Linked DNA regions of Callithrix jacchus. The protein of the gene in region 2 interacts with the protein of the main gene of each other region in a biochemical or structural test. Links are inferred from orthologs where the notes say so. Each region holds a gene or a part of one and is shown on either strand. Other genes may lie near its edges.

Region 1 (3,500 bases), on a different chromosome or scaffold from region 2:
CTGAGGGTCTGGCAGGGGCTCACTGAAGATCTGGGTAGAGCCAGAACTTTCATGGGACCAGAAGTGAGCCTTCCTCATGGAGACCCTGCCTGGAATTTACAGGAGGCTACTGCAGGTTTGTATCCTGAAACAATGAGCTAGTCTCACAAAGGATCAGAGCTATTAATGTCATCCTGCTCTAGCTACACACTGAACTGTTAACACACTTACCGGTTTAGGGATAAAGTGGAAGTTTGAGAGGGCATCCAATTTTAAGAAGAGGGAATCCATCATCTTCTGAATTTCTATGTGCTCTGGATTTTCTTCTTCTGCTGTTTTTTGCTTAGAAAATAAATTCAACAATGTCAAACTAAGTGGCTTGATACATATCACAGGACAAAACACTAAAGGCCAGTGAGGGTATTCCCAGCTTCTCATCACCAAAGCTTCAGCTACAAAGAAACACTCCAAAAGCAAAATTAAAAGTAGCAGTACTGTGAGAGTTCCAGCACCTACAAAGAAGAGATGTGATGTGCATTTTAGGAACTACAGTAACCATTACCTCTAATATTCAGAAGCTAAAAATTTAATTCTCTTGGCATTTACTTCTGCCAAAAACTAAGCTATTCCTAAGATGGCTATATAATTTTATAAAGGAATAATTTTTTTTAAAGGAATACAGCAAGTGATTACAAGGGTTGGCAAGGATGGAGAAACTGGAACCCTTGTGCATTGTTGATGGGAATATAAAATGATGCAGGCACAGTGGCAACAAGCTTGGCAGGCTTCAAAAAACTACACAGAGAATTACCATCTGACCCAGCAATGCCATTCCTAGGTGTACAACCAAGAGAATTAAAGACGAGTACTCAAATACATGTACACGGCACTATTATCAGTCAAAAGGTGATAAGAGCCTGCATGCCCATCAACGGATGAACAGATAAACTGTGGTACATACACACAATAGAATACTGTGCAACCATAAAAAAGAAATGAAGCACTGACAAATGCCGCAGTACTGAAAACATGACGCTAAGTGAAGGAAGTCAGAAATGAAAGGCTGCATATTGTATGGTTCCATTTATATCAAATATCCAGAATAGGCAAATCCACAAAGATAGACTGCAGACTGGGGGTTGTTAGAGCTGGGGCAAGTGAGGAAAGGGGAGCAATTGCTTAATGCATATGGGGCTTTATTGTGGGCTGATAAAAATGTTTTAGAACTAGATAGAACTAGTAAGTTACACTGTCCTAAATGCTCCCAATTGGTTCACTTAATGTGGTTAATTTTATGTTATGTAAATCTCACATCAATTAAAAAGAAAAAAAAGAAGTAGTGTTAATATAGACTTCATCAACTTACCAAACATCCATTTGGATGGTAGGGGCTTTTTCCTTTTATTTAAATGTAATGTGTTAAAGATTTATTCTGACAAATCACATTTAAATATTGACTGCAATTTTAATTCTACTGAAGAGAAAATGTAAATTTAATGCTTCTCTCTCTGTCCCCCTTGGCCCCAAATACTTATTCTAAATGGCTAAGAAGGCTTTTTGTTTGTTTGTTATTAAGACATGAAAAAAAAACCACCAAAACTTGGAAACAACGGGCTCTTTGCCTCCTGACCCTGATGACAGAGACGCAGCCAGGTCTGTTTCCAATGTCCATCATCAGCACCCACCTTCCAGCCATGGTCAGGCATCATCACGCTATTACTGCTTCTTACTATTTTAACTTACCTCACACTTTAAAAAATCCTAAACATGTCCTTTCACCTTATTCTAGGTAACAATATCCATAAAATCAAACACATAGCAATGTATTTGCTATTTAGAATTTTCTGAGCCACAATACATATACAACTGTGAGTAAAGGCTCCTACATATGCTGTTTACCATCATTTCACTTCTAGAATTAGCCTAGCTAATGAATATACTAGAAATCCAAGTCTATCCTCAAAAACTTCTTAACTCGCTGTTGACTTCTGAGAGAGAAATAAAACTACATTTAGAGCTGGCATAAGCTACTGCATTACATATCTAATTTTTAACTCTTGTGGTCACCAATACTTTCTGTATTTACTGAATCTCCTCAAAGACTCAAATGAAACTGTACACATCCTCTTTCAGCAACCACTTTGGATTGCAAGGTAGCCAGGAAGAATTTTAATTCAAATCTTTTCAGTTCTTCAACTTCACAGTGGCATCAGGGCAATTTGCTGTTGCTACCTGAGGGGCATTTATTAACAAAATTTGGTAGGAATTGTAAATGGCTTTTGCAGAAGAAAAATGCCACCGGATCCCAAAGTACATATTAAATATATTCCCAATAAATCAAATGTGAAGGAAAAATTCAATTATCATATAGGCATATAATATTCCTGAAAATATGACCTTGTCCTATTATTTAACCAGAAATTTCTTTTGTGTGTGTTGTGGGTTTGTTGTTTTTGCTTTTTTGAGATGGAGTCTCGCTCTGTCACTCAGGCTGGAATGCAGTGGCGCAATCTCAGCTCACTGAAACCACCAACTTCCCTGGTTCAAGCAATTCCCCTGCCTCAGCCTCCTGAGTAGCTGGGATTACAGGTGTACACCACTACGCCTGGCTAGTTTTTTTTATTTTTCAGTAGAGACAGGGTTTCACCATGTTGGCCAGACTTGTCTCGAACTCCTGACCTCAGGCAATCCACCCGCCTCAGCCACCCAAAGTGCTGGGATTACAGGTGTGAACCACCATACTCAGCCCAGAGATTTCTTTTAGTTAAGTGAAAGAGGAAACAGGCCTAAAAATCAGAAAGAATCCATAATCATGTAAAATATACCAGTAACTTCAAATGTCAATGAGAAATGGCTTTAAAGTTGTAGCACCACCATAATAATTGCTAGAAAGTTAATAATTAGTTGTAAAAGTATCAGGTGACCAAAGCCTAATTGCAAAGCAAACCTCCCAACCCCTCACATAAACTGGGGATATTATAACCCTTCTATTCCTTACATGCTCTGACTCATATTTAAACGAGGTAGCTGAAGAGCTCAAGACTTGTTTCATGATTTCAACTGTCACAAAAAACCTAGTTCTCTATTTCTGTTTCTTTAATAACAATGGTTTTGCTTACAGGCTCTCTCACCTGGTTGAGTTTGATGTACTCCTGTTCATAAATTTCAGCAAGGCTCAATTTACTCTTCTCATGGTCTAAGGTTAAACGCTTTTTATATTCATATGCATCCTCTTTAGGTTTTTCTTTACGTACTACATCATCCCAAGCCTGAAACATAAAGGGCAGGTAGAACATAAGTTAACAAAACCTACAGTTTATTTCTAGGTTCCCTTAAGAATCTTCCTCTCAAATATTTATTATTATAATAATTATCAATATATTAATAAATTATTGTTAATGTATTAATTATGACAAACATCATTGTTATAATAAATATTTATTATTCCAGAGTAAGCAAATTATAGCAAAAAGAAAACTTTCAGCTTCTGAAAAAACTATTCGAATCACAAAAAATAAGCA
Region 2 (3,979 bases):
GTTGGGAGCTGAGAAAAGTGTCACCAGCTGCCTCTTGGCAAAGAACTCATAGCCATCTTCTACCACCTGGGTGCAGACCAGAGCAGTCAGTTCTGCATGCTGGCACTGGCCTCCCTTTCTCCCACCCCAGGCCAGAGCTGCCAGCCCACCTGGTGCGCCCGGCAGATGAGGTCCAAGTCGTGCTTGTGCAGGAACTTGGCCACCACCTCGGCTCCGAAGGTAAAAGACACGCCACGGTCGTTCTCGCCCCAGCCTTGCACGTCCTTGTCAGGGTCAGACCACAGTAGGTCACACAGCAGGCCCTGGTCAGGCACGTCTGTGGGCCGCATGATACGCCGGATCTGCTCCATGGATTGCAGGTCTGGGGACAAGCCTGGGGGACCGGGGGAAGTCCACATCCTCAAACAAGGACATCCTCACTCCAGGAAGCTGTGGCCAATCAGCCTCACCTTTCCCACTGCCCCCTTGATTCCTCCACAGGTCACCTGGGCACCCAGGCGGCAGAAGTCATCCCCTTCCCCTCAGCTTTTGCAGGTTCCCAAAGAGGCACAAAGATGTCCCCGCCCTCAGGAGCGCAGAGCTCCCGGGAGATAGACAAGCCAAGCCTATTCCATGTAGGATGCACAAGGGAGTCAGCGCAGCCCGGCACAGGGGTATGGGAGACACTTCCCAGAAGGAGTGACTTCCCAGATGAGACAGACCTAAGGAGAGCTGGCCCGGCAATGGGGGATGCGGCCAGGTCTCCTTGTCCCCAGCCGTCCCCTCCCTCACCTCCGTGGCAGCAGAAGATCTTTTCATCCACGATGGCTGCGATGGGCAGGCAGTTAAAGCAGTCCGTGAAGGTTTTCCACAGTTTGATGTTGTAGCGTCTCTTGCCTGCCCAGGAGATGGCTGTGAGGGGCCCGCCTACCCCACCCTCCACCTGGGTCCCTGGGCTATTCAGACGCAGATGGGAGGAGAGAGGCTTGGAGGCAAACCACCCTGCACCCTGCCCCTGTCCCCACTCCTGCCCCTGCAGCCTATCAGCCTTCCAGGAACTATTCTCTTTACTTTTTATTTTAACTTTTAATTAAACAGTCTTGCTCTGTCACCCAGGGTCAGCTGGAGTGCAGTGGCGAGATCATAGCTCACTGTAACTTGGAGCTCCTGGGTCCAAGTGATCTTCCTGCCAGAAGTAATTCTAAAGCACCCAAGTCCAATGAAAACTGAGTTCCAATCTGGACCGGCCTCAGGGCTGGCACTCCCCAAACACCCCCACCCATAAGCTGGGCCAAGTACAGGTCTGGTTTATCTCAGCTTCTGGACAGCTGAGCCCATCTGCAAACACATCCTAAGTGCTTAGTAGCAGATGTAAGTGGAGCCTCACCAGGCAGGGCCCTGGGAGCAAGCACCAGAATACCAGCAGCCTTCCAGTCAGCAACCATGCCCCAGACCCCGTGCCAGGCAGGGCAGGGCAGGCACGAGAATGGAGCGGGCCCTGCCTTCGTGGAGCGCACAGTCTAGCAAGTGTCTGTCAGATACGAAGCCAATGTGAGGGTCCCACTGAATAGCAAGGAGCGTTTCGGGACCCGGGCAACCCTGGGTGCTCAGACCACTCACACTCATCGTAGAAACCATAGATGCGGTTGATGCTGGCACACTCGTGGTTCCCACGGAGCAGGAAGAAGTTCTCGGGGTACTTGATCTTGTAGGCCAGCAGCAGGCAGATGGTCTCCAAGGACTGCTTGCCCCTGTCCACATAGTCCCCCAGAAAGAGATAGTTGCTCTCCGGAGGGAAGCCCCCATACTCAAATAGTCGCAGAAGGTCGTAGTACTGGCCGTGGATGTCACCTGTGACCCATGGAACCGAGTAAGCTAGATGCTGGGTCTAGACTTGAACCCAGGGCCAGGACTAGGCTCAAGGGAGGAGGGCTCCAGGAACTTTGTGGGGGCCAGTGCCACTTTTAGGAAGCCAAAGGGGCCTGGGCGAGGCTGGGGGCTGCTCACCGCAGATCTTGAGGGGTGCCTCCAGCTCCAGGAGAATGGGCTGGCTCAGGAAAATCTCCCGGGATTTCAGGCACAGACCGCGGATCTCGTTCTCTGTCAGCTGTACATTCTTGCCAGGCCGCGAGCCCTGCACTGGGGGCGCAATGCGGAGTCAGGACCCTGGCCTCTCAGACAGGGGGAGGGTGGGCGACACGGTGGCCCCGTGGATACCTCCGGGGGCGCCTAGGCCTCCTCGGCCCCTCCTTGCCCAGAGGCAGCTGTTGCTGCTGAGCCTCCTGGGACGTCGGCCTCAAGCCTCCCAAGGGAAGCCCCCCTAGTTATCCTCAAAGGCTCGGGAGGCGACTGTCGTGCGCAGGGGGCTGCCGCCCAAAACCTCACAGCGCAAGACACCTCCCTGGACCGGGCTTCCCGGGTTTCTCCCTCGCCCCAAGAGCCGAGGCAACCCGTGAGCCCCCGGCCGGGGAGAGGGGGCTGCTCCGCGCCTCGAAGCCGGCCCCGGACCTCTCAGGCGCGTCCGCGGGGGGGGGCGGCTGCGGCCACGGAACCTCGCGGCGCGTCCCCGCCCAGTCTAAGCTGGCCCCGGGGGCCCGCCCGCGCGCCACTTCCGGGCTGGGCAGGGGTCCAGGGCGCGGCGGACGCGGACCTTCCCCACCCCGGCCAACCTTCCAGCAGGCGCCCGATGATCGAGTCCAGGTTGAGCTTCTCGCTGTCGGACATGGCGGCGCCGCCGCTCCAGTCCAGCAGCTCCGGGCCCGCTCCCGTCTCCCGCCCTCCGGCTGCCTCCTTCCGGCCTGGCTCTCCTTCCGCCCGCCCCAGTCCGCCCCCGGCCCGCCGCTCCGCCTCCGGGCCTCCCGGGCCCGCCCTGCCCGGCCCCCCGCGCTCTAGCGCCCCCGCTGGATGTGAGGCGCGGAGGCCCAGGGGGCGGGGCCTCGGCGGCGGGCTGGGGGCGGTGTCTGTCGGGGGCGGGGCCGAGGCTAGTTACGCCCGAGAGGAGGCGCCCAGCTCCGTTTCGAGGATGTGGGGCCGGAAGGAATGTGGAAGTTGTTTTTCTCTTTCAAAAGCTGAACAGCCCTTCCCACCCCTGCCCTGGGTGGAGGGTGTCGTGAACACGTTAATAACCGGCTGCCCCGCACTGAGGGTTAACTTCTCCAAATGCAGAAAGGGAAACTGAGGTTCAAGACATAGCGACAGGCTGGTTCAAGACCTGGACCTCGCTTGCACCGAGGACCCCCTTCCTCGTGGGTCTCCGTGGCCCCCAGGCGGCTGACCACACTCAAAGACAGCTAGAATTCCCAGCGCACTTTGGTCCTTGGGGCATGCTAAATTAATATTTTCTTATAAGTCCCATAATTAGCTTTTTTTTTTTGAGGCGGGTTTTGCTCTGTCCCACAGGCTGGAAGGCAGTGGCGCGACCTTGGTTTAATGCAACCTTCCCCTCTTGGGTTAAAGCGATGACAATGCCTCAGCCTCCAGAGTAACAGGGACTACAGGCGGATGTCACCGCGCCCGCTAATTTTTGTATTTTTATTAGACGGGGAGTTTCCATGCTAGCCAGGCTGGGATCACAGGCCTGAGCCATCACACCTGGCCCCATAATAAGCTTTGAGTAGCACAGTAATATTGCAGGGTGTGCACGTAAAAAGAATTATAAAGAGTAGACATTACATGAACCGTAATTACTGTTGGAACCCTGAGTTGGGTGCTTTACACACCAGTAACCTCAAAACTGGAGGTGGGCTGGCCATCGTGGCTCAGGCCTGTAATTCCAGCACTTTGGGAGGCTGAGGCATAATGATCTCTTGCGCCCAGCCTGGGCAACATGGCGAAACCTCGTCTCAACACAAAACACAAAAATTGGCCAGGCACCGTGGCTCACACCTGTAAGCCCAGCACTTTGGGAGGTTAAGGCAGGCAGATCACAAGGTCAGGAAATTGAGACCATCCTGGCTAACACAGTGAAACCCCGTCTCTACTAAAAATACAAAAAATTAGC
Region 3 (3,500 bases), on a different chromosome or scaffold from region 2:
TTCACCATATTAGACAGGCTGGTCTCAAACTCCTGACTGTGTGATCCACCTGCCTCAGCCTCCCAAAGTGCTGGGATTGCAGGCATGAGCCACCACGCCCACCCATAAAATTTTTTTTTTTTTTTTGAGACATAGTCTCACTTTGTCACCCAGGCTGAAGTACATGGCGTGATATCGGCTCACTGCAACCTCCACCTCCCAGGTTCAAGCAGTTCGCCTGCCTCAGACTTCTGAGTAACTGGGATTACAGGCATGCACCAACACACCCGGCTAACTTTTGTATTTTTAGTAGAGATGGGGTTTCACTGTGTTGGCCAGGCTGGTCTCAAAATCCTGACCTCAAGTGATCCACCCACCTCAGCCTCCTAAAGTGCTGAGATTAAAGGGATGAGCCACCACACCCAGCCTCTATTACTATCTATTAAATGGAACCACATATGTTGTATCCACTCTTCTGTATGAGTGATGCCTACAAAATCACAGTAACAAAATGCTTGCCCAGGGGAAGCCTGGTGCCTGCCTGCAAACTGTCATGAACTCCATTCCCACTAAAAATGCCTCCTCTTCAAGCTCTGAAGCCAAGCAAAGATTCCTGTGTTCTCCTTCCAGGGGAAGGGAGGCACAGGCTGGCTTTGGAGTTTTCTTTTTTTTTTTTTTTTTTTTTTTTGAGACAGTCTTGCTCTGTTGTCCAGGCTGGCGTGCAGTGGTGCGATCTCAGTTCACTGCAACCTCTGCCTCTTAGATTCAAAGTGCCTGTAACCCCAGCACTTTGGGAGGCCAAGGCAGGTGGATCACCTGAGGTTAGGAGTTCAAGATCACCCTAGCCAACATGGTGAAACCCCATCTCTACTACAAATACAAAAATTAGCTGGACGTGGTGCCACATGCCTGCAGTCCCAACTACTTGGGAGGCTGAGGCAAAAGAATTGCTTGAACCTAGGAGATGGAGGCTGTAGTGAGCTGAGCTCACACCACTGCACCCCAACCTGGGTGACAGAAAGACTGTCTCAAAAAAAAAAAAAAAAAAAAAAAAAAAAAGGCAAATACTGGTTCTGGGTTCCGATAAGAACCACTTCACTTATGATGTGTTATATTTCTATTTTAATGCATATTGGTTTATAATTCATTAAAAAACTAAATACCTGCCCACATGGATGTTTCTGTATGTGCTGGAGGAAAATTGCCCATTTTCTGGGTTCCTTATTCAGTTTAAATCTCTAGTACCACCCCCCCATGCCCTCACCAGAACATAGTCCCGAACCCTCCTGGGTCACCAGCTTGCCTCCATATACCTCACCTTGGAACATATGGTCTTTCTGTAATGAGTACTTGCTTGAAAGGTTTTTTTGGCTTCATTCATGCGGGCCATGGTGTTCTCTTTCCAGCGACGTAACACCCCCCTGTAGGTGCATGGGTGTCGTCGGGAGGGCAGATGACACCAGGATGGAGAGAGAAGGGAGGCTTCTGTGAATCATTCCCCCTCTTCCCCTGCTCCTGAGTCAGGGACTCTATGCCTAAGAATGTTTGACCAACACCCATGTTTACATGCATATCTACGTCCAACAAAGGGCTACTGAGCAGCTGCTCTGGGCTGGGCACCGAGAGTGCATGAGGGACCCAGCACTGCTGGAGACCAAACTCCAGGTGCTATGGGGATAACAGGGCGTAATCCGGCAGTGGCAACACAGGTGACTCACACTGTGATAAGAGAAGTGTGGAGAGGCAGGGGACCTGGAGGAAGGTTGCCTATGCCTCAGCTTGCTGCTGAGTTAGCTTGGGGAGTTCCTTTTGCCTATTCTACTCTATCTGAAGAGCAGGATGGGTGCTCTGTGGGACCCCATATGAGGGATGGAGGCATTTATTTTATTTCTTTACTTTTTAGAGACAGGATCTCACTACATTGCCCAGGCTGGAATGCATTGGCATGATCATGGCTCACTGCAGCCTTGACCTCCGGGCTCAAGTGACCCTCCCACCTAAAACTCCCAAGTACCTGGAACCACAGACATACATGACCATCCCTGGCTGTTTTTATATTTAGTACAGACAAGGTCTTGCTACATTGCCCGGGCTGGTCTGAAACTCCTGGACTCAAACAGCCTCCCAAAGTGCTGGGATTACAGGTGTGAGCCAATGTGCCCAGCTAAGGATGGAGGCGTTTAAAAACCACTGCCCAGAGGCCACCTGGATTATCAATCATGTGCTGAACAAACACAAAGGAAGGAAATGAAAGGGGCATGTGGGAAGACTACTGGGAAGGAGGGAGGTTAGAGTTTGGCTTAGAAAAAGGGGACGAAGCTGCATAAGCACCCTCCACAGGAGTGCGTGGTGCAGATGGTCCGACAGGGACTAGAGGTGACTCTGAAGTCAGAGACAGGCCTGCAGAGCAAGCGGGAAGGGGAATGCCTGGAAATTGATAGGAAAGGGAGCCACTGCAGCCTCTGGAGTGGAAGAGATGACAAGGCGAATCTCTTGCAAAACTGAATCTTGCAAAGCTTTGCAAACCCCTGAATCTTGCAGGTATGAAGCAGGGAGGAAAAACTGCTAAGAAGAGCAAGACAAGTGGGCTTCCAGGCATGCAGGTGACAGCTGCTCTCCAGGGCCTGCCCTGTACACAGCAGGGGCTTAAGACAAATGAAGGTGAACTCATGAGTGAAGCGGAAAAGCCAAGACCATGATATTAGGTACTAGGGACCTGGGATCATCCCTGGCCCTCAGCAGGACCCCCCCAAAACGCTGGGGTTTGGAGTGTGTTCCTCATTCCCGGCCAGAGCCTGGGAGGCGCCTGGGAGACTCACCGCAGCAGCTGCCTGTTGTGCTGGCTCTCCTTGGCTGCCACCTCCTGGAGGATGCTCTGCACCCTGCCCTGATAAGTCTGTGGGGGACAAGGGGGACAAGGGGGACTGGAGGCTGCCCCTGGGTCCACACTTCTCCCTGTTTAGGCAGGCCTCAGAGGTGCCTCTACCACAAGGCTGCCACAGCATTCAAAAAGGGCAGGGAGAGGCCAACAGCCTTTAGTCCCAGGGCCAGCAGACCCTCCCAGATGACAGGGAGAAGACTGTCCCATAGGCCCTCACCTCCTAAGTCAAACCCCAGGACTCCTGGACAAGGAGCTGCTTTCCCCTCAAGGCTGGGGCCCACCAGCAGCACTTGTTTCCACTTGGCCCAGCAAGAACCGAAGAACCTGAGGCCTGAGTCCCAGGGCCTCGCTAAGGCACTTGCTGGTTTCAGGTTTGTCACATCACTTTGTTGTGGGAGGGACAGGAAGAACAAGGAAGGGAAACAGAGTCTCCAGAAACCTCCCCTGTCCCCACAGCAAGGAGCTCAGGAGGGAAGCAGCAGCTCCTACCACCCACGCCTGCAGCGCCCTGAGCAGCACCGTGTGCTGGTGGTGCAGCTCCGCTCGCATCAGCTTCCGCCGCTCCGCTCCCCGCAGGGCCAGGCACTGCAGACAGAGAAGAAAGCAGCTACTGTGGGCTGGGGGCCCACTTGGGGGTGGC
Region 4 (3,500 bases), on a different chromosome or scaffold from region 2:
CACTGACAAGGTTCCAAGTAGGGGCAGGGAGTGCGCTAACTCCCAAAGGCAGTGCATGTAGTGTGACTTTCAGGCCCAGCACGCCGGGCACAAGTTAATGAGAAGCTGGTCTCACTGAAGTACTTTATCAAGTCTACAGACTGGCTGTAGTTGGCAAGAGCAGACCAGCACCACTGGCCTCAACTCTGCCAGCTACTTTCACTGGATGCAGATATGAGTTCACGATCGTCGAACCCAGCAGACCCAGGACGCAGAATGGTTGTTCACACTAAGTTCAAGGTCCCACTTGAGAAAGGACTCTGAATGGAGCCCATGCTGGGGGAGGAGTGGGGATGATGTGTGTTCCAGAACTCAAATCCAGCTGATTGAGCCCCCTCAGTGCAGTGGGATATACAATACCCCTTCACCATCTCCCCACCCCATGAGTAATAATGAGCTTAGCTGGGATTTCTTAAGTGCAGCTGATCCTGTGTCAGAGTTCTGTGTGCATGTGGGGACCCGCAATAGAAGGGTAGGGGTTTTCTCCAGGATAACCAGCTTTACGTTCTCAGGCATTATGGGCAATACTGGAAAGGGGTTTGGGGTACAGGGCGAATCTTCTCAAAAAGTGAAGCCAACTGGGTCTCCTCTTCAGCAGTCCAGGGTACAGAACGTTACCAGTCTCTCTCCTCCCCAGACTGGAGGAAAATATGTACATCAATGCGCACCAGTGATCAGAAAACCCCCAGGAACCCAAGCAAGTGGGAACTGAGGGGGCTGGCTCCTCATCAGCTGGGGAAAGGGGAAAATGGGCCTCACAGAAGCCATAACAGGGTGGAAGGAGCGAGGCTGCAGTCCACAGGGGTTGTGTGAACAGGACAGGCAAATGGTCCCTAGGGCAGGGGGGGCCCATTGACACCCGGGTGGTAGAAGGCACAGTTGTTTTCATAGCGGCAGTTGCCCTTCATCATGAAATGTCGACAGACAGGGCGGTTTGACATGTCTGTGGGAACAAAAGCAGAACAGTTAGACAGGAAATGGCTGCGGGCAATGCCAACACCTTCACCACCCCAGTCCATGGCATCCTGAGAACTGTGTTTCAGAGACATGATCTTGTGGATCTGGGGGAAGGGCAGAGTAGGAATTGCTATGCATACTAGGACACCAAGGAAATAAGGGGACTTCACATTCTGCCTAGCTACCAACAGTGGTGACTCTCCCCACCACCACTCCCTAAAATCTTGTACGGCACATCAAAAGGTATATGGAGGCAGGGAGCATCCTCACCTCCTCCATGGCTGTGGCCTCCATCGTGCCCTCGGTGGCCCCCTCCCCCATGGCCAGGGCCATCATGGCCACGGTGCTCATGAGGTGGTGGCCCTCGATGATCATGGCCTCGGTGACCAGGAACATCATGAGGCCGGTGGCCATGGGGCCCCCCGTGTCCAGGGCCTTCATGGGGGCGATGTCCACCTCCGGCACCCATTCCTCCGCCAGGGCCTTCGTGGGGACGATGGCCACTGCCACCACTGATGCCACCGCCAGGGCCTTCATGGGGACGATGTCCTCCACCCCCGCCCATGCTACCAGGGCCTTCATGGGGGCGATGCCCACTGCCCATGCCACCGCCAGGGCCTTCGTGGGGACGATGTCCACTGCTGTTGCCCATACCACCGCCAGGACCTTCATGGGGACGATGCCCACCACTTCCAACCATGCCCCCACCAGGCCCCCCTCGTCCATTTGGGGGACCTCCTCCAGAGCGACCTCCTCTGGCGCCTCTGAACGGAGGAGGAGGAGGAGGAGGAGGAGGTTCGTTTCCCCCTCGGCCACCTCGGCCTCTATGGTATGGTCCAGGACCTGGTCCTGGACCCCCCCGCATTGGGCCACCCCTCATGGGGTCACCTGGGCCATCCCAGAAGGGATCACCCCCCCGGGGAGGGGGTGGAGGACCCAGGAGACGTGGACCCACTGGCCCACCAGGGCCTCCGTGGGGACCTGTAAGAGAGAAAAGAGAGAGCATCAGCTATCTACTACACTCAGGAATTGCCGTCTCCCAACAGAAACCACCACCTCCCGCCTTCCAGGCAATCCCATACTATTATCACTTGAAATTAGGCCGATTAGCCCATTCCAACCTCTTACTCACCACCTACCTGGCATAGGTCCCCCAGGTCCAGGGGGAAAGTGCTGCATGCCCTTGGGGCCCCCAGGACCCCCTGGTGGGAAACCATTGGCTATTGGGCCAGGGCCTAAGAGTCCATGTGGCACTGTTAATGAAAACAAGAGTAACACAGTCAGTATGAGCACTCTAGAAGACTAACATGATCTCCCGTTTAGGTGTGCCCAACTGACCCTCTCAGACCAAGCTGGCAGAGCAGTGCTCTCTGTCCAGTCTTCCCCTCCCACTTCTTGTCTAGTGGCAATAGCCCTATACTCTTTCACATCTGTGAAAACCTGCCTCCCCAAACTCCACTGAAGGCTTCCTCCCCCAGGCCTCTGGGGCTTGCCCTGAAGATTACCCAGCATCTGCTTGATCTTGTCTGAATAGTCTGGTTGTTTCAGTAGTTCCTCTGAAGGATGACTGTTTGGGCTACCCTGTGAGCATATAAGAAGGCAAAGTCAACAGACAGAAAGGGTAACAACCATCGCAAAAGGGACTCAAAGATTAGGAGTAAGTGGGTAGATGTGGAGGACCAAGGTAAGGTGAATGGGAGACAGAGTGAGGACAGTGCACTTAAGGAGGCTCCAAGGAGGTGGCGAAGGGAAGGGGGTGCATACCATGATGGAGGTAAGGATCTCCTGCACATTAATGCCTCCTCCTCCAGGGCCTTGGGGGCCCTTTCCGGCACCCATGCTTCCCATAAGATTGGCCAGAACTGGAGGCAACTTGGAGCCTCCTGCCCCATCAGGTGAGCCACCTGACCCCCCAGGTTCCAGGGTCTCAACATATGAAGTCTCATCCATGGAACACTCCTGAAAGAAGAAGAAAAAAAATCAGGCCTAACTGAAAGAATGGAGACATTTTCTCGTGAAAGATGCACCAAAATCAATGATCATCACAACCTCTATCATCACATAATATTGACTCACTCACCTCATCTAGGGGGATGAGTTTAGGGGGTATGGGCTCATAGGGCTCAGGATCAGGTTCATGAGGACTATCAGGAACAGCACAAGTGATGGAAAAAAGAATGACAGTTAAGTTATTAATTTAGGCCCTGAAAGTTATTTCTAACCTCCACCCATGCTTAATTACCCCAAGTCATGTTCCCCTTAGGAGTGTCCAAGCCCTCAACATCCCAGGGCACAAATCCCACTCTGCTCACCTCTCCTTGTTCAGGAAGAGCTCCTGAAGGATTCCCTTCTCCCGCTCAGCCTGGATATATCGCTCCTGACTATTGCTTCCAGGGGTGACAAGAGGTGATGGTAGAACCAGGGGCCGGGGGCACACCCAGGGCACCTTCTCCTCCATGTTGTCATGGCTCAGACGCCGGGCTGTCTCAAATGCATGTCGGTCT
Region 5 (4,201 bases), on a different chromosome or scaffold from region 2:
ACTCCAGCCTGGGTGAGAGAGCAACACTCCCTCTCAAAAAATAAATAAATAGGCCAGGCATGATGGCTCATGTCTGTAATCCTAGTACTTTGGGAAGCCAAGGCAGGTGGATCACCTGAGGTCGAGAGTTCAAGACCAGCCTGGGCAACATGGGTGAAACCCGTCTCTATTAAAAATACCAAAAACTGGGTGGATGAGGTGGCTCACACCAGCAATCCCAGTACTTTGGGAGGCCGAGGCAGGCAGATCACCTGAGGTTGGGAGTTCAAGACCAGCCTTACCAGCATGGAGAAACCTCGTCTCTACTAAAAATACAAAATTAGCCAGGCGTTGTAGTGCATGCCTGTAATCCCAGCCACTCTGGAGGCTGAGGCAGGAGACTCGCTTGAACCTGGGAGAATTGCAGAGGTTTCAGTGAGCCGAGATTTCGCCATTGCACTCCAGCCTGGGCAACAAGAGCGAAACTCCATCTCAAAAAAAAAAAAAAAAGCCCGGGCGCGGTGGCTCAAGCCTGTAATCCCAGCATTTTGGGAGGCTGAGGCGGGTGGATCACAAGGTCAAGAGATCGAGACCATCCTGGTCAACAAGGTGAAACCCCGTCTCTACTAAAAATACAAAAATTAGGTGGGCATGGTGGTGCGCGCCTGTAGTCCCAGCTCAGCTACTCGGGAGGTTGAGGCAGGAGAATTGCTTGAACCCAGGAGGCAGAGGTTGCGGTGAGCCGAGATCGCGCCATTGCACTCCAGCCTGGGAAACAAGAGCGAAACTCTTGTCAAAAAAAAAAAAAAAAATTAGCTGGGCGTCGTGGTACATGCCTGTAACCCCAGCTTCTTGGGATGCTGAGGCCGGAGAACGGCTTGAACCTGGGAGGCGGAAGTTGCAGTGAGCCGAGATCGCGACATTGCACTGCAGCCTGGGTGACAGAGACTTCGCCTCAAAAAATAATAATAGTAAATAAATAATTAGGCCTGGAGTGGTGACTCACGCCTGTAATCCTAGCACTTTGGGAGGTCGAGGCGGGGGGGGGGAGGGGGCGCGGATCTCCTGAGATCAGGAGTTCAAGACCAGCTTGGCCAACATGTTGAAAAAAATCCCGTCTCAAAAAAATAATTAATAAATAGATAAATAAATTGAGGTGGGAAGGCATCTGCCCTGAGCTAAGAGAACTGGCCCGCTGCTGAAGCAGGACCATGCATTTGATTGACAGTTCGCTTATTTGGGAGGCGTGGTCACGATCGGAAACTCCGCCGTGACGTCACAAAGTTGGAATCTCCGCGAGAAGTCCTGTCTTACTTTCACTTCCCACCCTTCGGGGTGTGCTCTCGAAACCCCGCCTCTCCCCGTGACGTCACACGTCGGGGCGCGGTAGACTATAAAATCTTCGCGGACGCTTTTCGCGTTCATTGTGTTGGTTCCTACCCTAGTTGTAGTTCACGTGCGAGAAGTCGCACGACCCTGCGCCCGCTTGTCGCCCCCGCGCTTGAGGCAGCCATAGATATTCTGTGTTCCTGGACCCCAACCTCTGAGGGTGAGATGAACGCGCTGGCCTTCCTAGCCGTCCGGACCTGGGATCGCTTCTGGCAGCCCGAGCCGGCCCTCCTACCCCCGGGGTGACGCGCAGTCCCCAGCCGGTGAGTAAGGGGTCGAAACGCCTGGGTCTCCACGGGGCTGGGGGCACGGATTTAAGGAGGAGAAGGGGTTGGGAGCCTGGAGTCCTGAGTCTGAGGGAGGAGGGATCTGGAAGCCAGATTCTTGGGTTCCTCTTGAAGGAATCGTCTGGCAAGTGGGTGGGTCGGGTCAGAATATTTGAGTCTCCAAGAGAGGGAGGGTGCGGGGGTTTGACTTGTCAATCTTCAGCAGGATGAGTGAGCTAGGGTCTATGACCTTGTCCGCAAGGGAAGCAAGTAAAAGACTTGTTCTTGGGACTGGGATTTCTGCATCTGAGCAAAGAGGAGGCTGGGGGCTTGGACCCTTGGATCTAAGGAAGAACTAGGGGCTCAGATTCCTGGCTCTTGAGTGATGAGAGAGAATGGAGCCAAGGGACAGAGAGGGGAGTGGCTGAGATCAGAAAGGAATTTGGGGCAGAGGCTCACGGTGCTGTTTATGATAGTTGTGTTACTATTTTTGTTGCTGTGACTCATAGTCATGCCCGAATGCCATCTCCTTAATGGCCCCTAAACTTTATTTTTTTCCTCCCCCTTTTCCAGCCCAGACACATGGCCCCAGGCCAAGCACCCCATCAGGCTGCCGGCTGGAGGGATGCCCATCCTTTCTTCCTCCTGTCCCCACTGATGGGCTTCCTCAGCTGGGCCTGGAGCCGCCTGAGGGGCCCGGGACCTCCAGAGCCCTGGCTGGTAGAAGCAGTCAAGGGAGCAGAAGCTGGCCTGGAGGGAGAAGCTGAGACTCCTCTGACAACCCCCGCTACCCTTTGGGACAGATACTCTGAAGAGGAGGCTGAAGACAGTGGAGGCCCTGAAGGGGACAGAGAAGCGATGGGCCTGAAAACCAGCACTTCCCTTCCTGAAGCCTGGGGACTTTCAGATGATGACGATGACAAGTATAGTGAGCGAGAAGCAACCAGTGTCCCTAGAGGGCAGGGAAGTCAATTAGCAGATGGCCAGCGTGCTCCCCTGTCTCCCAGCCTCCTGATAAGGACCCTGCAAGGTTCCGATAAGAACCCAGGGGAGGAGAAAGCCGAGGAAGAGGGAGTTGCTGAAGATGAGGGAGTCAACAGTTTCTCTTATCCTCCGTCACACCGGGAGTGTTCAGCAGTAGAGGAGGAGGACGAAGAAGCTTGCAGAGCCTCTACTGCCCTGTCTCCAGGATCCAAGCCCAGCGCTTGGGTGTCTTGCCCAGGGGAAGAAGAGAATCAAGCCACGGAGGACGACGGAAGAACAGAAAAAAGTCAAGGAGCCAGGAAGACCCCCGTGTCACCCCCATCTTCAGGCTCTAACCCCACGGCCTGGGAGTATCATTCAGGAGAGACATCCGAGGAGAAGGAAAAGGCACACGAAGGAGCTGGGAAAGGAAAAGCTGCCCCAGGGCCACACTCCTCAGCCCCAGCTCAGAGGCCCCAGCTCAGGGCTTGGCCGTGCCAACCCACTGATGAAGAGGAAGGTGAGGTTAAGGCTTTGGGGGCAGCTGAGAAGGATGGAGGAGCTGATCCTCCCTGCATCCCTGCCACAAGTGCCTTCCCGAAGGCCTGGGTATATCAGCCAGGAGAGGACACAGAGGAAGAGGAAGAGAAGGCGGAAGATGAGGACAGTGATACGGGATCAGCTGAGGACAGGGGAGAAGCTGAGACTTCCGCTTCCACATCCCCTTCAAGTGCTTTCTTGAAGGTCTGGGTGTATGGGCCAGGAGAGGACACAGAGGAAGAGGAAGGTGAGGAAGAAGATAAGGACAGTGACTCTGGATCAGATGAAGAGGGAGGAGCTGAGGGTTCCTCTTCCACTCCTGCTACAGGTACCTTCTTGAAGTCCTGGGTGTTTCAGCCAGAAGAGGACACAGAGGAGGAAGATGAGGACAGTGATACGGGATCAGCTGAGGACGAGGGAGAAGCTGAGAATTCCGCTTCCACACCCCCTGCAAGTGCCTTCCTGAAGTCCTGGGTGTATCAGCCAGGAGAGGACACAGAAGAGGAAGATGAGGATGAGGGAGAAGCTGAGAATTCCGCTTCCACACCCCCTGCAAGTGCCTTCCTGAAGTCCTGGGTGTATCAGCCAGGAGAGGACACAGAAGAGGAAGATGAGGATGAGGGAGAAGCTGAGACTTCCGCTTCCACACCCCCTGCAAGTGCCTTCCTGAAGTCCTGGGTGTATCGGCCAGGAGAGAACACAGAGGAGGAAGATGAGGATGAGGACAGTGAGGATAAGGAAGATGATTCAGAAGCAGCTGTGGGAGAAACTGAGTCAAACCCACATCCATCCCACCCAGCCCAGAGTGCCCGCTTCAGAGACTGGGTATATCAACCTGGGAAGGAGACAGAGGAAGAGGAAGCTACTGAGTACTGGGGAGAAGCTGAGCCCTGCCCCTTCCGAGTGGCCATCTATGTACCCGGAGAGAAGTCACCGCCTCCCTGGGCTCTTCCTGGGCTACCCCACCGACTGCAGAGGCGGCTCAAGCACCCAGAATCACCGACCCGAGATCCGGACCCTGAGACTCCCTTAAAGGCCAGAAAGGTGGGTGCTGAGAGCCCAGA
Region 6 (2,520 bases), on a different chromosome or scaffold from region 2:
TTCTTCCCCCACCCCTACCTGTCCACGCCCCCAGCTGAGCACATGTAGAAAAACTATGGTATTGCTGATTCTGTGACAAGAATCTTCCTGATCAGTAACCTGCCCAACACCCACAGAACATGGCAATGAAGCCCTAGATGCTTTTAAAATAAAACAGACTGTTAAGACTAGACAAACCAGAAAACCAGCTTAGCATGGCCAGTACGATAATGAGTACGAACCCCGAGTATGAGTCCCCGGGAAGTGCAGCTCCACCTGTCACTGTGCCAATGGCATTGATTATTCAAACTTCAGATCCACGTGGTCTCCTCAGCTCACAGAGGGTCTCATTTCCTACACCAGTGGGAATCACCGAGGGTACCCAAAAATGTAAAATCCTGGAGAGCTCAAAAACAAACATGGTTTGCAGCAAGATTCAACCAAGACGCCCACAGCTGCTCCAAGGGCCAGGATGCAGTAGCCCGTGCACATTCAGAACCTCGCACACACTTACAGCTCAGGAAATGATAAAAGGCCCCACATTCTTAAAGGTATCGTTTATAGAGTAGTCTGTACAAAAGCAGTCTTTTTCAAGAGACTCTGCTGCTCCTCAGAAGAAATCCACAGCCCTGGGCCTTCTCCTTGGTGTGGCGGTCAGGGGCTTCTTGGCCACTGGGGGTGAGCTGGCAGGCGAGCTGGTGGGGGTCTTCAGCACCCCGTGGAGGGGCCTCTGTTCAGGGTCGAAGGCCACCCGAGAAGCACCCGTGGGACTGACCAAGATACTCTTGTCTGTCTTCTTGAATTCTGTCCCAAGTGAGAGCAAGGCCCCAGGTTAAGCGGGTCCAACAGCTGTCCCTTCGACAGCGCCCTGCCTGGGTGCCAACCCCACCCATGTGCTAGGACAAAGTGGGGCCATCTCAAGGCTCTGCAGAGAGCAGGCCTGAGAGCCTCCTGAGGCAAGGAGGGCAGTGAGGCCACGTCCCATGCCTCACCTCACCCTCCCAAGGGAGGCCCAGACCCAGGGGAGCTGCTGGTAGGGTGGCTCCTGGAAGCCTGAACTTTTGGGGTGTTTTGGACAATGACTGGACCAAGCATTTGTGTCTGGGACAAATCCGTGCTATGTGGAGCTGCAGGATGTGTCCCATTCACTTTTCCCAGTTCTAAAGGTGGGGTGAACTCCTCCTCTCCGAGTCTCTTCTCCCTCAACACAGATACCCTCACACACACATATACTGGTGCACGTACACACACACTGGAGCATGTACTCACTCATACACACACACACACACACACAGGCGCATGTACACATACACACACACACCGGCGCACATACACACTCACACACACACATACTGGTGCACGTATACACACACACACACACAGGCGCATGTACACATACCCACACACATACCGGCGCACATACACACACACACACATACTGGTGCACGTGCACACACTCTCATACACACACATACTGGTGCACGTACACACACACACTGCCACATGTACGCACTCATACACACACACACACACCGGCGCACATACTCATACACACACATACTGGCACATGTACACACTCATACACACTGGCGCCTGTACATTCATACACACTCATACACTGGCGCACGTACACACACTCACACACACTGTCGCACACACACATACTAGCACACGTACACACACAGGCGTACGTACACACATACGGGCACATGTACACACACATACTGGCACACGCACACAGTCGCATGTATGCACAAATACTGGTGCATGCACACATACATACTGGCGCATGTACACACATACACACATACTGGTGCATGTACACACATATTCACACACACACTCATACGCTCACACTCGCATTCACACACACTCATACATGCACTCACACACACACTCACATATACACACGTTCAGTTACTTGTGGTTTCCAACGAGAGTCGGGTTCTAAACTCACAATACTTTTTAAAACTCTGGTTTCTTTTGTGAAAGCAACTCGAACGGATGGCAGCCACACAAGAACTAGGAAGGCAGGGATTTCCCTTCTCCGTCCCCCGGGAAGAGTGGTTATGGTTTCTCGGAGGCAGCTACAGCTGATGGGCCGCTGCAAGCTCTAATGGCCTTTCTGTGGGATGGCTTGGTACTTAGAAACACCTGGGAAAATGGCTTTTGGATCACGTCTCACCAGGTAGCCTCTCCTAAGAGGTCCCAAGCAATTGGCTGCCCACTCACCACTGGCAACCCACTCACAGCCCTTTGAGGACAAGGGACACATAGGTGCTTCCTTTTGACTCTGAAATGGGCACTGAGGGGCTGGGCACGGTGGCTCATGCCTGTAATCCCTGCTCTTTGGGAGGCCAAGGCAGGTGGATCACCTGAAGTCAGGCCAACACGGTGAACTCCCTTCTCTACTAAAAATACAAGTGTTAGCTGGACAAGGTAGCGGGTGCCTGTGGTCCCAGTTACTTGGGAGGCTGAGGCAGGAGAATCGCTTGAACCCAGGAGGCAGAGGTTGCAGTGAGCCGAGATCACGCCAACCTG
Region 7 (3,500 bases), on a different chromosome or scaffold from region 2:
CCAGCCTCAGCCTTGGGACTCACCCAGAGACCCCCACTCAGCCAGCCTCAGCCTTGGGACTCACCCAGAGACCCCCACTCAGCCAGCCTCAGCCTTGGGACTCACCCAGAGACCCCCACTCAGCCAGCCTCAGCCTTGGGACTCACCCAGAGACCCCCACTCAGCCAGCCTCAGCCTTGGGACTTGACCCAGAGACCCCCACTCAGCCAGCCTCAGCCTTGGGACTCACCCAGAGACCCCCACTCAGCCAGCCTCACCCTTGGGACTTGACCCAGAGACCCCCACTCAGCCAGCCTCAGCCTTGGGACTCACCCAGAGACCCCCACTCAGCCAGCCTCAGCCTTGGGACTTGACCCAGAGACCCCCACTCAGCCAGCCTCAGCCTTGGGACTCACCCAGAGACCCCCACTCAGCCAGCCTCAGCCTTGGGACTCACCCAGAGACCCCCACTCAGCCAGCCTCAGCCTTGGGACTCACCCAGAGACCCCCACTCAGCCAGCCTCAGCCTTGGGACTTGACCCAGAGACCCCCACTCAGCCAGCCTCAGCCTTGGGACTCACCCAGAGACCCCCACTCAGCCAGCCTCAGCCTTGGGACTCACCCAGAGACCCCCACTCAGCCAGCCTCAGCCTTGGGACTTGACCCAGAGACCCCACTCAGCCAGCCTCAGCCTTGGGACTTGACCCAGAGACCCCCACTCAGCCAGCCTCAGCCTTGGGACTCACCCAGAGACCCCCACTCAGCCAGCCTCAGCCTTGGGACTCACCCAGAGACCCCCACTCAGCCAGCCTCAGCCTTGGGACTTGACCCAGAGACCCCCACTCAGCCGGTGCACGTTCCTCATTGGCCCAGGACACGGAGGCTGCAGGGCACCCCACTGTGGGGCCTGGTGGGTATAAAGGGCTCCAGCCAACTCCCAAATCCAAACCCCGAGAGGCCAGGGGGACACTCACGTGCCACAGAGAAGTTGTTGAGGGGGGCCTCGCGTTGGTCCACGTCCTGCGGCCGCTCTTTGTAGCCAATGAAGGTGCCGTCATTCTTGAGGAGGAAGTACCGTGGCCGCCAAGTCTTGATGTACTCCCCTGCAGGGGGCAGGCGGTGAGGGCTACACACACTGCCCATCAGACCCCCGCTGCGCAGCCAGGCAGCAACCCGGTGTGCCAGGACACACATGCCTGAGACGCCTGAGTCCCCGGGAGAAGGCAAGGGGTGGGGTGTGTTCCTTAGGGCCAGCGACAGAAACGGCCCTGGGTCAACAGGAAGGCAGACTCGCCCCACCACAGCACCCTCTTGGAAGAGCCACCCCTAGCTGTGTCTGAAAACGGGCTGGGCCAGCTGGACTCAGGGGATGGAGAGCCATTGACAGGAGGCTGGAGGAGGTCTGAGCCAATCCACATGGCCTTCCTGGAGGAGGAGGCACCAGCTATGGCTGCAGGGGCTGCAGGGATGAGAGCATTCCCCAATCAACCAGCGTTGGCCAGGTGGCAACTGCAGGTGACAATGGCACGTGTGGGCTGCCCAGCACAGCTGTTGTCCCCTGCCCACCAAGAGGATGGAGCACGGCATCCGAAGTGAGAGGTCAGCACCACTGAGACTGAGGGCCGGGATCCTGGTTCAGCACCAGTGAGACTGAGGGCCGGGATCCTGGTTCAGCACCACTGAGACTGAGGGCCGGGATCCTGGTTCAGCACCAGTGAGACCGAGGGCCGGGATCCTGGTTCAGCACCATTGAGACTGAGGGCCGGGATCCTGGTTCAGCACCACTGAGACTGAGGGCCGGGATCCTGGTTCAGCACCATTGAGACTGAGGGCCGGGATCCTGGTTCAGCACCATTGAGACTGAGGGCCGGGATCCTGGTTCAGCACCATTGAGACCGAGGGCCGGGATCCTGGTTCAGCAGCACTGAGACCGAGGGCCGGGATCCTGGTTCAGCACCAGTGAGACCGAGGGCCGGGATCCTGGTTCAGCACCACTGAGACCGAGGGCCGGGATCCTGGTTCAGCACCACTGAGACCGAGGGCCGGGATCCTGGTTCAGCACCAGTGAGACCGAGGGCCGGGATCCTGGTTCAGCACCACTGAGACCGAGGGCCGGGATCCTGGTTCAGCACCAGTGAGACCGAGGGCCGGGATCCTGGTTCAGCACCAGTGAGACCGAGGGCCGGGATCCTGGTTCAGCACCAGTGAGACCGAGGGCCGGGATCCTGGTTCAGCACCACTGAGACCGAGGGCCGGGATCCTGGTTCAGCACCACTGAGACCGAGGGCCAGGATCCTGGGACAGGAGCGGCCACTGCTCTGGCAGAGCACTCCCTGTCTTAGGGGCCTGGAGCACCATCCTGGGCACTGCCAGGGAAGCCAGACCCAGAGGTGGCCCAGCCAGCTGGGCAGGGGCCCCGGGCACAGAGGGTGTTCAGGCTGCGTCCCACCCGTGGGTCACTCAGGTGCACGGAACGTTTTCCCTCCAGTTTTGCCGCATCAGCCATACGCACTTCAGAATCGGAGCAGCTGCCCCAGTGACAGCCCAGCAACGACCATTTTTCATACTGACACTCGGAAAAAAATGTTCCACTTACATTTTGCCAAGCAAGGAATTTGAACAACGGGGAACTTACTAATGAGGCAACGGCCTCATCGGAGAGGCCGCTGGGCAGGGTAAAGGGTTGGGGGTCCCTGAGCTCTGGGGCCTGGGTTTTCCTATCAACCTGAGCCCAGACCAGGACACCTGGAGGGATGTGGGGGACAAGCAATTGTCCCATCACCGGACCACCCACCCCCAGCCCTGCTCAGTCCACATGGTGAGTGCAGGCGCGCCCAGTCCTCCCTGGTGCACAGGTCACGTCCCAGCACAGCAGCGGCCCAGGGAACTCAGAGGGCACGGGCCCCGGCATCCCTGCAGCCAGGGCATTCTCCTTCCGGGAAGCCACAGGCAGTTTTCACTGTAAGAGGTGAGCCACCAGGGCTTCGCAAATGGTCACCCCAGGCCAGGTGACCTCTCCCTCCTCCCCAGCCCCGGCTGTCCGATGCCCCTCCTACCAGCACCACAGGGCATGGCCTCCACAGGACCAGCCCTCGCTCCGCCAGATCCAGGGCCACTGGGGGGATGCTGGTGGCGAGGGGGACACCCCACCCAGCAGCTGAGTGTGGGGAGAAGCTGTTGCCAGCTCTGAGGTGGACCCAGGAGGGGATAGTCAGAGCCCATCCATGGCAGCCTGACACCTCCAGAGGATGACACATGCCCAGTCGCAGGGAGAAGGGTCCAGAGCTCAGAATCTGCCCCTATGCCCGGGAGCACTCACCAGGGGGCTCACTCACCCACTCTGCTGAGCCCTCCATGCCCGTCAGGCTGCCGGGCAGATGTGGTCTTGCCACCCTTGGGCACCGGCTCCAGCCCCTGGCCATGAAGACAGTGGTGCTGGCTCCTCCACTTGTGCCGTCCTGTGTCACCCCAGCCCTGGAGCTGGGAGTAGTGGGGCTCTGGGGCACCTGTTGTCGGGGCTG

Evidence for each region.
Region 1: the proteins of PPP1CA (region 2) and MPHOSPH10 form a complex in vitro, tested with the Homo sapiens proteins (2 studies listed by BioGRID and IntAct). The link is inferred for Callithrix jacchus from reciprocal best matches to the Homo sapiens genes PPP1CA and MPHOSPH10.
Region 3: the proteins of PPP1CA (region 2) and SFI1 form a complex in vitro, tested with the Homo sapiens proteins (2 studies listed by BioGRID and IntAct). The link is inferred for Callithrix jacchus from reciprocal best matches to the Homo sapiens genes PPP1CA and SFI1.
Region 4: the proteins of PPP1CA (region 2) and PPP1R10 form a complex in vitro, tested with the Homo sapiens proteins (2 studies listed by BioGRID). The link is inferred for Callithrix jacchus from reciprocal best matches to the Homo sapiens genes PPP1CA and PPP1R10.
Region 5: the proteins of PPP1CA (region 2) and PPP1R15A are reported together in a solved structure, tested with the Homo sapiens proteins (2 studies listed by BioGRID and IntAct, with this or other methods). The link is inferred for Callithrix jacchus from reciprocal best matches to the Homo sapiens genes PPP1CA and PPP1R15A.
Region 6: the proteins of PPP1CA (region 2) and RRP1B form a complex in vitro, tested with the Homo sapiens proteins (4 studies listed by BioGRID and IntAct, with this or other methods). The link is inferred for Callithrix jacchus from reciprocal best matches to the Homo sapiens genes PPP1CA and RRP1B.
Region 7: of the proteins of PPP1CA (region 2) and AKT1, one has a biochemical effect on the other in vitro, tested with the Homo sapiens proteins (3 studies listed by BioGRID and IntAct, with this or other methods). The link is inferred for Callithrix jacchus from reciprocal best matches to the Homo sapiens genes PPP1CA and AKT1.

Annotation. Positions count from the first base shown.
Region 1 is NC_133515.1:42,751,405-42,754,904, forward strand, and holds part of MPHOSPH10 (U3 small nucleolar ribonucleoprotein MPP10), read right to left. Parts: intron 3,249-3,500; coding exon 3,111-3,248; intron 322-3,110; coding exon 211-321; intron 1-210. UniProt on the Homo sapiens protein: Component of the 60-80S U3 small nucleolar ribonucleoprotein (U3 snoRNP). Required for the early cleavages during pre-18S ribosomal RNA processing. Part of the small subunit (SSU) processome, first precursor of the small eukaryotic ribosomal subunit.
Region 2 is NC_133511.1:124,477,355-124,481,333, forward strand, and holds the start of PPP1CA (serine/threonine-protein phosphatase PP1-alpha catalytic subunit), read right to left. Parts: upstream 2,801-3,979; 5' UTR 2,704-2,800; coding exon 2,649-2,703; intron 2,119-2,648; coding exon 1,987-2,118; intron 1,831-1,986; coding exon 1,600-1,830; intron 877-1,599; coding exon 772-876; intron 374-771; coding exon 150-373; intron 67-149; coding exon 1-66. UniProt on the Homo sapiens protein: Protein phosphatase that associates with over 200 regulatory proteins to form highly specific holoenzymes which dephosphorylate hundreds of biological targets.
Region 3 is NC_133502.1:202,085,769-202,089,268, reverse strand, and holds part of SFI1 (protein SFI1 homolog), read right to left. Parts: intron 3,446-3,500; coding exon 3,350-3,445; intron 2,876-3,349; coding exon 2,799-2,875; intron 1,401-2,798; coding exon 1,298-1,400; intron 1-1,297. UniProt on the Homo sapiens protein: Plays a role in the dynamic structure of centrosome-associated contractile fibers via its interaction with CETN2.
Region 4 is NC_133505.1:35,398,201-35,401,700, forward strand, and holds part of PPP1R10 (serine/threonine-protein phosphatase 1 regulatory subunit 10), read right to left. Parts: coding exon 3,309-3,500; intron 3,141-3,308; coding exon 3,077-3,140; intron 2,956-3,076; coding exon 2,761-2,955; intron 2,578-2,760; coding exon 2,502-2,577; intron 2,250-2,501; coding exon 2,136-2,249; intron 1,978-2,135; coding exon 1,267-1,977; intron 983-1,266; coding exon 873-982; 3' UTR 1-872.
Region 5 is NC_133523.1:42,713,758-42,717,958, forward strand, and holds the start of PPP1R15A (protein phosphatase 1 regulatory subunit 15A), read left to right. Parts: upstream 1-1,401; 5' UTR 1,402-1,631; intron 1,632-2,207; 5' UTR 2,208-2,216; coding exon 2,217-4,181; intron 4,182-4,201. UniProt on the Homo sapiens protein: Recruits the serine/threonine-protein phosphatase PPP1CA to prevents excessive phosphorylation of the translation initiation factor eIF-2A/EIF2S1, thereby reversing the shut-off of protein synthesis initiated by stress-inducible kinases and facilitating recovery of cells from stress.
Region 6 is NC_133522.1:49,362,650-49,365,169, reverse strand, and holds part of RRP1B (ribosomal RNA processing protein 1 homolog B), read right to left. Parts: intron 784-2,520; coding exon 590-783; 3' UTR 1-589. UniProt on the Homo sapiens protein: Positively regulates DNA damage-induced apoptosis by acting as a transcriptional coactivator of proapoptotic target genes of the transcriptional activator E2F1.
Region 7 is NC_133509.1:139,649,545-139,653,044, forward strand, and holds part of AKT1 (RAC-alpha serine/threonine-protein kinase), read right to left. Parts: intron 3,460-3,500; coding exon 3,315-3,459; intron 1,083-3,314; coding exon 954-1,082; intron 1-953. UniProt on the Homo sapiens protein: AKT1 is one of 3 closely related serine/threonine-protein kinases (AKT1, AKT2 and AKT3) called the AKT kinase, and which regulate many processes including metabolism, proliferation, cell survival, growth and angiogenesis.